Linked DNA regions of Oreochromis niloticus. The protein of the gene in region 2 purifies or fractionates together with the protein of the main gene of each other region. This does not show direct contact. Links are inferred from orthologs where the notes say so. Each region holds a gene or a part of one and is shown on either strand. Other genes may lie near its edges.

What was found.
Region 1: the proteins of mtch2 (region 2) and OCIA domain-containing protein 1 purify together in Homo sapiens (affinity purification with mass spectrometry; 3 studies listed by BioGRID and IntAct, with this or other methods). This does not show direct contact. The link is inferred for Oreochromis niloticus from reciprocal best matches to the Homo sapiens genes MTCH2 and OCIAD1.

What each region holds. Positions count from the first base shown.
Region 1 is NC_031971.2:23,931,261-23,939,091, reverse strand, and holds the start of OCIA domain-containing protein 1, read left to right. Parts: upstream 1-4,744; 5' UTR 4,745-4,897; coding exon 4,898-4,951; intron 4,952-5,176; coding exon 5,177-5,261; intron 5,262-5,363; coding exon 5,364-5,417; intron 5,418-6,398; coding exon 6,399-6,446; intron 6,447-6,588; coding exon 6,589-6,718; intron 6,719-6,807; coding exon 6,808-6,974; intron 6,975-7,765; coding exon 7,766-7,831. Other genes in the region: slc34a2a (solute carrier family 34 member 2a), read right to left, coding at 68-178, 271-334, 1,325-1,348. UniProt on the Homo sapiens protein: Maintains stem cell potency. Increases STAT3 phosphorylation and controls ERK phosphorylation. May act as a scaffold, increasing STAT3 recruitment onto endosomes. Involved in integrin-mediated cancer cell adhesion and colony formation in ovarian cancer.
Region 2 is NC_031965.2:3,929,325-3,937,421, forward strand, and holds the start of mtch2 (mitochondrial carrier homolog 2), read left to right. Parts: upstream 1-5,025; 5' UTR 5,026-5,091; coding exon 5,092-5,178; intron 5,179-6,566; coding exon 6,567-6,651; intron 6,652-6,791; coding exon 6,792-6,898; intron 6,899-7,234; coding exon 7,235-7,261; intron 7,262-8,097. UniProt on the Homo sapiens protein: Protein insertase that mediates insertion of transmembrane proteins into the mitochondrial outer membrane. Catalyzes insertion of proteins with alpha-helical transmembrane regions, such as signal-anchored, tail-anchored and multi-pass membrane proteins.

The sequences.
Region 1 (7,831 bases), on a different chromosome or scaffold from region 2:
TCAGCACTGTCTTATCACAGTCCTTGATGAGACATTGCTTGTACTTTTAGAAACAACGAGTCTACACCTGACCACGGGACACCCGCATCCTTCAGTTCTGGCAGGTCCCACGGATCTGTGTCCTCCGGCTCATCCACGATCAGAGCCGCGGTGGAATGTGCAGGGCTCGCTTTGATTTCTATAAATAATGGGAAAAAAAGACCATTTTTGTCCTGCTGCACACACACATGTAATTCTGATGAAATCAATCAGTAGCTTTTCCTTACACACCTTTACTTTTATATCCATTTTTCTCATCGTTTTCTTCCTTACATTTGTTTTTTGTAGCCATTTGCTGAAAAAAAAATCAGATTAATTTTCACTCATTTAGCTTTAGTCATACAAACAATACTTACATTATATCGAAGTTATGGCAATATTTAGATCACACAAAGAAAAAACGCAATATTATACATAAACTGTAAAGCAGCTTGCTGTTATCCCTAAATGCAGCAAGCATTTACACAGAATGATGCATCGCTGTGTAAAATTTCCTCTATTTTTGCAGCAATCTGTTAGAGTGATGATTGCAGTTAACTAACAATGCAGCAAACTAAGCAAAGATACAGAAAACCTCATTCAGCTGTATCGACTCCTCGCTTTTTAAAACAAACTAATTTTCTCCAGCAGGTATTGGCTTCAGGAATAACACACACACACACACACACATCTTGTCTAATGCCAGGGTATTGATCTTTGTGTCACATGTAATTCCAGTAAAATTCCAGTCACTGGACAGTATGACAAAAAGAAAACACTCTGGGGTATGTTTCATCATTTTGCTATTGTTTATACTTTGATAATAATTTGTAAAGCTTCTAAGTGTGCACTATTTGTCTAAGCTGTGCCCGGTTTTCTATCATTACTCGTTCATAAGAGGATTACTGCACAGCTAATATTGAACGTCAGTTTTAGTTTTCACATGCTGGGCTTCAGTGGACCACATCCAATCACTTTCAGACTTAATTTCAGTGTTTTCTGTTCTGAATTCCAGCTCAAGTTTTGTTTTGTTTTTTTCACATGAATGAAGAGCCACGTGCATACTGTATGAGCAGTATGCATGTTAAAACATATTTAAAACATTAAGAAATAAATAAAATTTCAAAAACTACACACATCCTTGTGTTGCCATACAAATGTTATAGTTCATGAACTCTTGACCCATACTGATTCTCCCCATCCATCATATAATTTTATTAATTTAAATACTCCAGATTTGCATTCAGTTTTCAGTTAACAGCAGCAAAAATAATTAGAAGATTGACTGAGACATGTCTGTCCTCACCTGTGGCAGATGTAGTGTGTCCATCCTTCCCGTGCACTTTTTACTTTGGCCTCAGGTTTAAAAATGCTGCCTTCGTGCAGATAGAGTAGAAAAGGTGGGAGAGGGGTCAATGTAGACCAAATGAAAATGTGATGTGCAGTGTTCACATCACCGGGAACACTTCCGTCACGATGATAAGAAGAACACACCTTCCAAACTTTGATTAGTCTTACCTGACTCGGCTTTAATCTTTCTGCCAGTGGTGTTGCAATCCAACTCACATTGTACCTGATAAGTCTCAGGCTGGTGGCGTCAGCTTTCAACTGCACCTCCACACCTGCTGCTAAACTTACCTTACCGATATACTTTGTACGTTTTACACGCAAAACTCATAATCAGTTCTGTTTGCTTGTCCCATTTGAAAGTATGATCATCCATTTAAAACATGAACTTTTAAAGCAAAAACTCTGTACTTCATTTAGCTGTTAAAAAATAAAAAAATAATTCTTTGTTGCATGTCTCATGCACAGCTCTCAGAGTGAGGATAGCTCCAGCTGGTGGACCCTGAGATTAACATGGGAAAGAGGTGACAGACACAATGGATTCCCTGACAAAGATTTATCTATACCACACAGGGCGGTGGGGTGTGATCATTGACTGTAATGGGGGTGGGGTGGGTCTATAATGTCATAGAAGTCCAACTTGAGTGTATTTTTGGAGCATTTTTGGATAGAAATTATTGATTTTCCTAATCCAGCTACCCGTTGGTCAATATTTCAAAATGCCAGTGAACTAAGTTTAGCTCCATAAAACTCTTCATAACAAAAAAAGTAGAAGTCAGTCTGCGCCAAAGTGAAGGACTGAATCTCCGTGGTAGCTGCGCCAACATGGGAATCCAGGATCCACTGCTCTAGTGCACAACAAGCCCCTGTGGGACATTTCCATGTATGCTTCCCATCTGACCAAATGCTCTGTTGCTAATTTATTAGGTTCAGCTTGTCAATGTGGATGCACATGAAATAAATATGAACTCATAATTTTCCATTTTAAAGAAGTGCTAATGTGATTTTTTTAAGCACTTTTAACAAATACTGAACAGCTTAACTTTCATAAAGGAAATCTGTGTAAGAGGACAGTTTTATTAGAGATCACTGATTTTAGACAGATTAACCAAACAAATGTGTAACTGATCTTTTTAAATGGGGGTAGTTAATATTAATCCAAAAAACAAACCAAAGTGCCACAGTTAACTCAGCAAGTAATTTGTACCACATCTTAGAGCTAACTGAGTGGCCCAGTTATGTAACAGTGTGGTTAGCTCAAGTAACTCTGCAGTGACCTAATGAAACCATTGCCAGTATTGATTGTCCCAGAAGCCACGCTGTGCCCCTCTGCAACCCAGTGCACTGAGGTGCCCGTCTGGTTCTCCCAAAAGCCTACAAATTACAACTCTCCAGCTACAGTTCTGATTGCCTGATTATGCCTTAGCATTCCAGTTTGGCCTTACACCTAAACAGGAGCACCTCCATCACACACCAACACAGCTAAGGCACATATACCCTTTAGCCTGGCATCTCCTGCCATGCAGTAAAACCAAATGGAAGATAACTAAGGTGACAAAGGATACAACTGACCTCATCTTTTAGTTTTCTTTTACTTTTATTGATTATGGCCTCTCTTCTGTTGTACGGATTTTGAACATGCTTAGGATAAAAAGATTCACAGGCTTAATCTTCTCCTTAATAGCAGCATTAAAAGGCCTTTTGATGCATATATGTGCCTGTACATGTCATGTCCTTCTAAGAACCAAGGAAACAATTGTGTTTCAGTTGAACTTCTTTTGTGATATCCAGCCTATTTGGAGCTGAAAGAGGCCACCCAAACACATGAGATATTGGAAAAGCCAGGATGTTCTCTTTTGAGCACAACAGGGCTTATTATGGTAGCTCAAATATGTCCAAAGACACAGACCAAAAACAATTGTCTGTTAAAGAGGACATAAATGAATAGGCTGGTTCTCAGGAGGATGTGAGGCAAAGTCTTTTTCAGTTTACAAGTGCAACAGCATCATCTAGGCACTATACCATGCTATTACAGCACTGCACAATTTAGCTCTTATCACACATCTGTGGCCCTGTATATTATTTTTAATGCAAATCAAGTTGCCATTAATGGTTCCTAAACTGATACATCACGCACGAAGTACAGAAAAATTAGTTGTGCAACTCTGGAAAGCATTTTGCTGTCTGTAAAGTCTAAATAATCAGGACAACATGCATAAAATTATAGTAAAATTTAATGTGTTTTTCAATTGAAATATTATGTAGCATGCATAATGTATATTATAAAAACTTGTAGTATTGTAAAATATAATATGATGAGACATATATGATTATGTGACACACTATGCAAACATCTTGAGTCGCCCCTCATTTTGCTTTCTAGCAGCCAGACTTTCTTGTCATGTTTTTAAAATGTTCTTGAGAAATACTTCTTCAGGTTTTATGATTTATTTGTTTATATTAAATCAAAGTACTTGCACCTGGCTATTTTCACAGGAATGCTTTTTGTTTCTTAAGTCACTTAATACTGACCTATGAATGATTCAACCATGAAAAGGCTGTGTAATTCCGTCCAGTGTGTGCTTACAAATTTGAGCAAACTGGACAAGTGGAAGACAAAAAAGGCAGGCCTAAAAATATCTACACCAGATAAGCAGTATCTAAAAGTCATGTCCAGCAAAGACCTGACACGGGACCTGTGAGATGCATCAGGGGTGTCGAACTACAGGCCTCAAGGGCTGGTGTCCTGCAGGTTTTAGAGCTCACCCTGGGCCAACACACCTGAATCAAATTATTAGTTCATTACCAGGCCTCTGGAGAACATCAAGACATGTTTAGGAGGTCATTTAGCCATTTAAATCAGCTGTGTTGGATCAAGGATACATCTAAAACCTGCAGGACACTGGCCCTCGAGGCCTGGAGTTCGACACCTGTGACTCTAAACCAAGCTGACCCATCTACTGTTCACCAAATAAAAATAATTCTCATTAGTATCGGATCTCTTTGGACGTGTGGCTCTAAAAAAATTAATTCTTCTTACCAGCAAACCAATAGCCATACAATAAGGCAGTTATGATTATGAAAACAATTAAATTGTTTGCATAATAATAGGTGAAGATGTGAACCGGAAAGTGACAGAAATTAGTTCACATCCACTAGAGGGAGCGGGTAGACATCATTGGTACCGCTTTAACAGCCTTTTTTTTTTTTCAAAATAAAAGACCCAGTTGAGAGCTCTTTCAGATGTTTTAAAGTAATAAAACTGCAACGATATTATTTTTTTATTATTTGGAATGATGTTCATGGGAGATTACATTCCAGCAGTAAAACTGAGCTTAACACGTTTTCTTTTCTTTTCTCATTTTTTGTTAGCTAAACAAATGCAACTTTCCTTCAACTTCCGGGTTAATGTCAGCGCTATCTGTAGCAATGACATTGTACCAAACACTATATAAGTCAGTACGCCGAGTGGCATACACTATGTTAGTTCACATGCTTTGAGTTGTCAGGAAGCTTGGACATTATCGTCAGTATGTCGTCCTCCACTACAGGTTTCCCGGGCGAGCGGCAGCACCAACCGGCGCAGGTAAAAAACGGAGATAAACACGCACTAAGTTAGATGCTAACACGTTAGCTTACGGTAGCTGGCAGTGACTTTGTATGAACTGCACGCGCAGTTTTATGGAGACGGGGGTGTGCTTTGTTGCCCTCCGTTTTAATTTCAGTAATTTGAAGGTGGAAACGTTTGCGTGGATTTCTATGACTTCTAGCGGCTGTTAACTAACGGTAAGGTGTTTGCGTTAACCTGCAGACGCCGCTGAACATTGACTACATCCCCACAGAAGAAGAGAGGAGAGTGTTGAGAGAGTGCAACCAGGAGAGCTTTTTTTACAGGTGTAAGTTTCCCGTGCATGCCAGCTTGATGGTTTAGGATGTGAAAATGTTGTTTGTTGTGACTCCGTCGTGTTTACACTGACATCATTACGATTTCTCCACAGCGGTGCCCTTCTCTGTGATCAGCATGGCTATCACCCAAGCCCTAGTGGCCAGAGGTAATGTTGTTCATACTGTGGAGCAGGGGTGTCAAACTCATTTTACACAGTGGGCCACATTCAGAGCAGTCCAATCTGGTCTTCAATAGGACAGATCAGTCATACGTATTATAAAGTGTTCCTCTTTCTTTCACTCTGAAGATGTAAGAGATGTCTTATGAAAACAATTTATAAAGAAAAGATGTGGGAGTGAATCAGCATGTCACTGTGGTCTTAAATGTTTAGAAAGAAATGTAACTTTTTTTTGTTCTTTTACAGATAATTTTGATCAATTTTTACCACAAAACAACATTAATTTCTATAGAAAATAGTGAAAAACATGAACTTCTGCCAATTAATGGAGTACTAGCAATAATTAAAAAAAAATAAATAAATAAATCTATAATTATAGATAGATACTTTACTAATCCCACACTGTGGAAATTCCCTTGTTACAAGGGTCAGAAAGAAAAAGTAAATTAGACATTATATTTATACACAAGTATTTTTAGATGGTGCTTTTCCTGTGTCTATATTGTACACTTTGACTGCTGTTGGGATGAAGGGCTTGCGATAGTGCTTGTTCCTACACCGTGTTTGTAACAGTCTACTGCTGAAGGAGCTGCTCAGGGGCTCCACAGTCTCATGCAGGGGGTGAGAGGTGTTGTCCATAATGAACACTGGCATGGTTAACATCCACCTCCTCTATGGAGTCTTGGGGACTGGCAAGGACAGAGCTGTTGATGGGTTGCTGATATTTCTGTTTGTAAGATGGCTCTAAAACTGACAGAAAGCACAGTGAAATATTGAAATTTATGCTCTCTTTGTAATTTTCACATTCTCTAAAGCATCCAGAGGGGCGAGATCATTCTGGCCCCAGGGCCATAACAATGGCCCTGGGGTGTTTAACATCCCTGCTGTACTGGAATCAGCACAATATCAGTTAAATGAACATTGTCACATGTTGATCCTCAAGTTGACATGAATGTGTTAAATTTGCAGGGGCTCTGTCTGCATCTCCAAGATTTGGATCTTTACCCAAAGTTGCCTGTAAGTTTGTGTTAAATATGTGGGAAACACACATACACACACTTACCCTGTATTTACTGAGTAGAATAAGAAAAACCTCTCTATTAAACTCAGTTTGTGTTGTTTTCTCATTTCTTTTCTTTGACTGTGTTTGACCCTACAGTTGCTGGTTTCTGTGGCTACCTGGCTGGAAAACTGTCATATATGAAAACATGTCAGGAAAAATTCAAGAGGCTGGAGAACTCTCCTCTTGGTGAGATTATCAGACAGAGGTCAGGCCTGCCTCCACTGAAGTGAGTATCACATACACTTAATTAAATGCTGGCCTGTTGAGATTAACTGTCAGCAGCATTGCCTTTAGCATATGTCCCCTTCTCTACAGATCCCAGGGTCCTCAGTCAGAGTTGGGTGACCCAGACTCTCAGTCTTTTGAACCCATATTCCAGCCTGCAGAGGCCTCGAGCCACACCTACAGCAAAGATTATGGATATGGCTACAGTCCAGACCCACCAGCACAAATGGACAGAGGAGATGACTTTAGTGCTCCAGGTATTCCAAAGGGGCAATATGTGGGTTATTCACAACTGAGTTCTCAACAGTAGCTCACCAAAAGAAGGTCCTGGGGCCAAAGCTTCCTGTTCTCCTTTTGCAAGGAGTTTGCAGCTCCCACTAGCCATCTTCAGTTAATTTTCCACGAGCATGAATATTATATTGATAAAGTGCTCTCTGAATTTTGCTTGCAGCAAGAATAGAAAAGTGCTACCAGTGAATACCAGGTCTTTCCTTTTCACTTGTTACAGTGAGGTGGTCATCAAAGTCCAGCATTTACTAGTTTTTCTTGTACAGCATACATCTGAAATTACTTTTAAAAAAACAAGAGTTGGGTGCACAAATTTGAATTTATTTTCGAGTTTCTCTAATCCACAGAGGGTCAAAAATATATACACATATCTCCCCTGATATTTTGTTGTATGTCCCTTAGCAAGTTGCACCTTAGCCATATGCTTCTGGTAGTCATCAGCAAGCTTCTGGCATAATGCTGGCTGGATTTCTTGGTTAATTTAAATCTGTTGATTTTCTGGCGCAGGTCTGACTTTTTAAGCGTACTCCAAAAACTTTTAATAGACTTTAAGGTCTGAGCTTTCTGAAGGCCACTCCAGCTTAATGGCAACCTGCTTTATCTATTGCAAAGTCAGTTTTAAAGTACTGAGATCATTGTCCTGTTGGAACACTCAGTTGTCCAAGTTTCAATCGTCATTTCAACAAAACTTTCCAGTAGAAATGAACTTTTTAAAAAAAAAAAAAAAAAAAAATCCCATCTTTTGCCCTGTAAATTTCAGTCCAGTCATATGTGGAAGAGGAGGAGCCCAAGAGGACGTCTATCCTCTATGAGGACCTGAGGCTCA
Region 2 (8,097 bases):
CGCTGTGGAGCCATTTTGCGCTATTCCAAGAAAATGATGACATAACAAGATAGCACTCATCACATTGGAGGTGTGCGCCAAATTTCAAGACTTTTTAAACTTTCCAAGCCCCTCAAAAGCCACTTCATCTTTCATGGTGAACGGCGTTGCCACCAGGGTGCGCCGTTCAGTTTATAATCACAAATTTCTCACTGAAGCATCAAGAGGGACTGATGGTGATATTCACCGCTTTTGAGGTGGCCACGATGAACCTGTGAAAATCAGTACAACAAAATGAAAGACATGACATTTCCTGGTGCCACTAGGTGGCGCTCTACGTATTCCTGACAATGGGCATATCAATCTGTTCAGGGCGGGTCTGACATCATCCCTGTAAAATCTGGTACTGATCACATTGGATTTCATTGAGTTACACTAATTTGTTTCTTCATGGCGAGACCTCAATGTTCGCCATGCTGCTGGGGTCACACCCTTCAGCGAAAACTCACAGTTTTCTCTGGAACCCAAGACCAACTCCTTAAGGCTTTCCTGGAGAAATTTGAGGCTGCAGATGTCACCCATTACAATACTGTACCCCAAAGTGTAAAACATGACATTTCCTGTTCCCACTAGGTGGCGCTGTCCCTGATGTCAAATATGGCAGTTGAAATATGTTCAGGGGTGGAGCCTTATCATATCTGTCCACTTTGGTCAAGATCGGACAATGTATGACAGAACGAGAGGCAATAAGATTTTCATGGCGAGTCATCGAAATTCGCCGTGGCGCCACGGCCTCACCGTATCGCGAAAACTCAAAAGCTCCGCAATTTAACATGGCCCAGGTGTGTAGTTGACACTGACCAAATATGAAGCTTGTCCGATGAAATTCCAATGAGGAGTTCGCAAAAGTTCGAGGCGTGGAAATGGCAAAATTAGAGCCAAAATGTCACCTTCACTTCCAAATGGCGGACTTCCTGTTGGGTTTGCATCAATGGTCCCACTGACTTTTTTGTTCGTCTTGGCATGTTACACATGTGTGCCAGATTTCAGACATGTAGCTCAAACGATGTGTTCGTAGGGCTGCATTTAACAAGGCATAGGTGGCGCTCTAGAGCCATTTCCCAGTGCTCCTATGTAAAACCAATAAAATACAAAATTTTTCACCAGACCTGGCATGTGTGCAAAATTTCAAGAGTTTTTGAGCATGTTAAAGCCCTCAAAAAGGCCCTTGTTTTGCCTGAATAATAATAAGAAGAAGAAGAAGAAGAAGAAGAAACAGAGCAGATACAATAGGGCCTTCGCACTCTCGGTGCTCGGGCCCTAATAAGAAACGGAGCAGATACAATAGGGCCTTCGCACTCTCGGTGCTCGGGCCCTAATAAACGGAGCAGATACAATAGGGCCTTCGCACTTTTAGTGCTCGGGCCCTAATAATAATAATAAGAAGAAGAAGAAACGGAGCAGATACAATAGGGCCTTCGCACTCTCGGTGCTCGGGCCCTAATAAACGGAGCAGATACAATAGGGCCTTCGCACTTTTAGTGCTCGGGCCCTAATAATAAACGGAGCAGATACAATAGGGCCTTCGCACTTTTGTGCTCGGGCCCTAATAATAATAATAAGAAGAAACGGAGCAGATACAATAGGGCCTTCGCACTCTCAGTGCTCGGGCCCTAATAATAATAATAAACGGAGCAGATACAATAGGGCCTTCGCACTCTCAGTGCTCGGGCCCTAATAAGAAACGGAGCAGATACAATAGGGCCTTCGCACTCTCGGTGCTCGGGCCCTAATAAGAAACGGAGCAGATACAATAGGGCCTTCGCACTTTTAGTGCTTGGGCCCTGATAATAATAAACAGAGCAGATACAATAGGGCCTTCGCACTCTCAGTGCTCAGGCCCTAATAATAATAATAATAAAAAATGGAGCAGATACAATAGGGCCTTCGCACTTTTAGTGCTCGGGCCCTAATAAACAGAGCAGATACAATAGGGCCTTCGCACTCTCAGTGCTCGGGCCCTAATAATATGAAACGGAGCAGATACAATAGGGCCTTCGCACTCTCAGTGCTCGGGCCCTAATAATGATAATAAGAAGAAGAAACGGAGCAGATACAATAGGGCCTTCGCACTCTCAGTGCTCGGGCCCTAATAATAAATGGAGCAGATAAAATAGGGCCTTTGCACTCTCAGTGCTCGGGCCCTAAATATAAGAAGAGTAATAAAATAAATATACACTTTAGGACTATCTATCTATCTGTCTATTAGGTTATGTTGTGGTGATTCTCAGGTTGGGGGATGGGTGTTCATACTGAAGTGCAAAATTAAAACCAATGGAAGATGGACAAGTAAAAGTTCAAAGCCATCAGGTGCTCAGTTAATAAAAATGAGAAAAGAAGAGGAGGAGAAACGAGCAAAAGATACAGGTAAGCAGATGTGTCATTGGATAATGGCAGGTCATCCTGAAACAATCAGAATCATAATCAGAATACTTTATTAATCCCTAAGGAAATTATGTGGGTTACAGTTGCTCCAAGAAGAAATGGTAAAAATAGTAACAGTAACAGACTAAACTCCAAACAATACATTATGTTACAGATTTTAATGTTGATTAGTCATTGTCAATTGTTGATTTGTCCTGTTCTCATTGTATGACACATTATGATGGCTGTTTGGTAGCCGTTTGCATACTATCCATACTTTCTCTCTCTTCATATCCGTGTGTGTGTGCGCATTTTTCTCTGGTGAAATTCAGTATGGTTCTGACAACAGTTTTATGTTAATGTACAATCCTTAATACCTTTCGTGCGTGTGTGTGTGTGGGGGGGAGTGTTCGCCCAGGGCGACAAACAGGCTAGGACCGCGGTAGGAATTAGAATCAAACTTATGGGAGAGGAGACCCCTTGGACATAAATCAGCATAATGAGAACTATTGAAAACAAAAGAAAGAATCTTTGGAAAAAAATTATCTGAGGAGAATAAATTTATTTTAGTCTGACCCCAGTCCCATCCGCTAACATGGAGGAGGCGGGGTTTATGACCTTGCCATCACCAGTGTATGAATGTGTGTGTGAATGGGTGAATGACTGAATGTAGTGTGAAGCGCTTTGGGGTCCTTAGGGACTAAGTAAAGCGCTATACAAATGCAGGCCATACTGCAGCCAGACACCAGGGGGCGATAGAGACGTTTTGGCTTCATTTTTGGGGAGCTGTCGCGTCGTCCATGTTTTCTACAGTCATTGCACTGTACCCAGGTGCTTCTTCTCAGTGTTTTTATTTTTATCAGCCTTTGTCAACAAAGGGATGAGGGTCATACGGTGCTCTCAGCCATGCACCGTATGGCTGAAGCTTGTTGCCTGCTCATTCCACTGAGCTAAACCCTTCTTCTTGGTGTTTATTTGTGGTTGAACCAGAATGTCACTAAAGGATTACATTCTCTCATACAAATGTGCTTTCCTAAGATTATTAAAAATTGCCTGATAACTGTTACTTCTTGAGTTATTTCTAAGTAAATCAATGAAATCTACTTTCAGTTTAATTTTATTTAGGTTTTGTCTTCTTTCTTACTCTTCTGAAAGCGTAATATAACATGCTCTATTTTGTGATTATCTCCACAGTACTTGCATTTTCAATTGCAATATTTCCCTAAAATGAATAATGTGCCCATGTCTTCTGCTTGTTGGTTTTCCTGGTTTTTTACCAGCTATTTGGCAATAAAGGTCTGATTCGCACAGTCTCCTCTGAACAGTTAATGTGAAGATGTGTCTGCTACTGGAACTCTGTGTGGCATTTATCTGGGCTTTAACTAGAGGTGCTGGTGACTTGGATGAATTTATCCTCAGCACCAGAGGTGACGCTTGGTCTTCCTTTCCCGGGGCAGTCCTCATGTGAGCCACTTTTGTCATAGCGCTTGATGGTTTTTGCTACTGCAATTGGGGACACATTCAAAGTTTTAGCAACTTTCTGGACTCACTGACCTTCAGTTCTTAAAGTAATGGTGGACTTTCATTTCTCTTTACTTAGCAGATTGGTTCTTGCCATAAATATGAATTGTAACAGTGTCAAATAGGGCTTCACACCTGTGAAGTGAAAGCCATTTCTCTCAGTGAGCTTTCATGAAGCTCACTGAGAGAAGGACAAGGGTTTGCAGTTCTGTCAACAAAGCAAAGTGAGGCTACTGTTAGGAATCTAAAATATAAGATATATTTGGAGTTGTTTATCAGTGTTTTCTTTGCTACATTCTATATATCTTGTTTCATATATTTGATGTCTTCGGTATGTACCTGTAATGTAGAAAGTAGTAAAACATTAAATGAGAAGGTGTGTCCAAACTTTTGACTGATAGTGTATTATAGTAAGTATAAGAAATTCCTTTTTTTTCTAGCACAAATGGTGAATGCGGAAATGTATTTCCTAATATCCCTGTCCATAGTCGGCTACTGACAAGAGCATATCAGGAGTGAGAGCATATCAGGAGTGAGAGTGATAAAGAGCAGTCTAGACCCAGTTAATGACCCATAAGTGGAGTGAGAGAGAGACAAACTGTTACTGATACTGTTGAAAAGTATATGATGAATACATTCATCAGAGATTCCATGTTTGAAATTTATATTTTATATTATTTGTATATTTTGTATATTGTATAATGCTGTACCCTTGTGATTTTTCAGACATGCTGATTATTTTGTTTTCTACTGTCGCAGGCACCCAAGTGTAAATCAGAGCTTCCATTTTAAAATTAGTTCATGTGTAGCAATTCCAATTCAGCTCCACATTACTTTGCATTTTAAGACTTTACAAATGACTTATTTATGTATTTTTAGAGCCTCTATTTTGATAGCAAAGTTAGGACAGAGCAAGGTAAAGACACACTTGGCTTATTTTTTGAGCCTTTCCACTGCTCTACAAAGATGACTTTCACGTTCTCTCATCGTTACCAACCTGCCTGGCCTGCAACACTGGGCTGCCTCAGACTTGAACATTGGCTCAAAACGAAGTACAACGTTGTCATATCGCTTATAAACATTAGATGGCAGTATTGTTTTCCACGGACGTTATCCCAGAGGCAAAAAGAAAAAGGAGAACTTCCTGTCTCTACCGTCTCTCCAAAAATGGCGGAGGTGTGTGGTCAAGTGTTATTGGGATCAGGGCTTACTGTGCTCTCCCATCCTTTGATGTACATTAAAGTCCTGATCCAGGTAAGAGGCGGAGAGTTTGGACAGATTCTGTTACGTTTCCTTTCAGGGCCTGATTCAGACACTCTTTACTTATCTTTGTAAATACTGTAACTCTCGCTAGTATCTCTCTAGAAGAGGAAATTACCATTCATTTTCACAGTGTATTGCCTCGTTTACCAGTAAATTAATACGTTTTTAGCACACACAGAGACCTTTAATAAGTCTTGATAACTATTTATTTGAGAATATAGCAGGAACTCTCCCAGTAATAGGATCGGCCACATTATTGTCCCCGTCTGTTGTCCCTGTGACCTTCTGTTTCCTCATTGCTGTGCAATAGGCGGAAGCCGTGTGTTAATCGTTTTCGAAAGTTAATAATTGACTGCAATGTTACCCTGCTTCATTTATATTCTGTGCGCAGATTGAACAAAAACAATTTGTGTTCTAGAGACATAATTCTACATAGCTCATACATGCCTTATTTTCTAAGAAAGCCAGCGGCGTTAAGTTGCCATTTGTTGAACTGCTAGAGATAACCGCAAGTTAGCTGTCAGCTGATTACCTCTAACGCCACTTTCTGTAGTGTCTTAGACTGATGTCTTCAACACACAGTGTATATTCATAAGTTTGTCACTGGGAGAAATGTATACTGTTTGCTTCTCAGTTACGATTACTGGTAGCTCAATGCCTTTAGCTCTTGAAAAACATGAAAATTACTAACACACACGAGCACGAGCACATCAGCAGAGGACCGGGGACTTGTATCAATTAACGTTTGCTTAATTACAACCAAAAATAGCTTACAGTTCAGGTTGATCTTAATGACAGAACAAGTCATTAAGTGATAGAGTGATAGTTTTACTAGATGCTAACAGTTCTCTGCCTTGTGTATACCGTGTCCATATTTGTAGCAGTCGGCTAATCATCAATTGTGCATGAACTGTTTGGGTTATATATGAATGCAGCACAGTGCACAAACTGGTGCCCTGTCAAACTTATGTGATATCTGGAAACATAGTTTTGTAAAGGAAAAATAACCAAATAAGTGAGTGCTAAATACTAAAATCAAAAGTCAACATCATCATAAAAAAAAAATAAAGATTTGTCTGTCTGTTTCTTCTTGCTATGTAGCTTGTGATGTGTTCTGTCTCACTCTCAATGGTCTGTCTCTCTACAGTGCCATTCAGTACTGGACACAGTCCTTCCTGGCTCTGTGCAAATAATCTAACTAAATATCTATTGGAAAAACACACTAGAGGAGATATCAAGCTGTACATGATATTCTGCAGATAAAAACTTCTCTTGCAGCATTTTTGGTGTTTTGCTGTATTTCTCTAGGGTACATAAAGACAATATTTGTTCCTCCTATGGTACCCTCTCATTGTTTTTGGTTTTGTGTGTGTTATCAGGTAGGACATGAGCCGCTCCCTCCCACCCTGGGCAGGAATTTATTTGGAAGACAAGTCTACCAGCTACCTGGACTGTTTGCTTATGGCAAGTTTGATTCTTGATATTTTTATAAATGGAGTTGGTAATATCAGTATTACAGTGCTTTGAATGATTGTATGTAGATATTTAACCTTGTAGTTCTACCAATATTTACAATGTACCCTGCTCTGCACTAAATGTTTCAGCAAAACACATCATTAGGATTGATGGAAGAGCTGGTCTTTTCAAAGGACTTGGTCCGAGGCTTTGTGCAGGCACTATTGGCACAGTCGTACACAGCAAAGTTGTACAGGTAAGCCTGAATAGATAGGTTTGCCACAGAAAGGTTTGATTAAACAACTATGTCCAGATGAACAGAATCAACTTTTGGAGATTTACTTTCCTGGATGATTGAGAATGCATCAAGACGATTAAACAACTAGTTTCTGTTTAGTCTTTTCTTTGGATTTTTTTTAGATGGTCATTTATTTCAATCATTTGTGATGCATACTAATGGCCTTCGTAAGTGACCTATGTGCTGGGACTAAAAATGGCATTGACTTTGAACTCCGTTTCTTACCATCTGTGTTGTAAGTGTAACTCAAAAACTGTTCATTCTGGCTGCTTGATAACCTCTATCCTCTTACAGAAATGTCAAGAACAAGGCACCCCACAGGTAAGTTTTTTTTTTTTTTTAAATCCTATTTATGGTCACAGTATGATAAGTTCAAAATGTTCACTGACTCCCCATAAAATGCAACAGTTTAGCCCCTGTCCCCTTCAAGATCCTTTCCCTGTGCAGCAACGCACCACTCCCCGCACTCCTATATTAAAATCTGTTGTTCTTTCACTTCTGAAAACTTGAAAAAAGTTGTACTGTATTGCCTGGATCGCTTATAGTAGAGCATCTAATACTGTTTTGTAACGGGTATTAAGTGTGGGAGTAAGGATCAGGTTATTTTTGAAAATAAATGTGGTAGAAAAATTTGTAAAATAAAGTAAATTTATTTTAGTAACTGAATAATCTATCGATTATTCCATAGTTTAATCGAGTAATCGGATAAGAAGTACTTTTGCCTTTAGTAGTGTCAAAAAGACACTACTAAACAAAAACTAAACCCTCTGATTGATTACATGTCATATATATGTCTTGATGCATTCTCAATCATCCAGGAAAGTAAATCTCCAAAAGTTGATTCTGTTCATCTGGACGTAGCGTTTTGTGGGAGAAATGTTTCATCACTCATCCAAGTGACTTCTTCAGTCTCAGCTGACTGCAGGTTTCCCCAAATCTTATAAACAGTACATTTGCATAATGACTGAAACCAACCCACTGAAAGAACAATAGGCTGTGAGGTCAGTTCCTTAATCATAATTATGCAAATTCTCATGACCATTGATCAACAATCACTGACCAAAACCCACTGATCAAAGACCACTGATGAATGGCCATGAGTACCATTCACAGAGAGTTGGGGAATGGCTGCAATCACAGCATTGTAAGATGGCGAA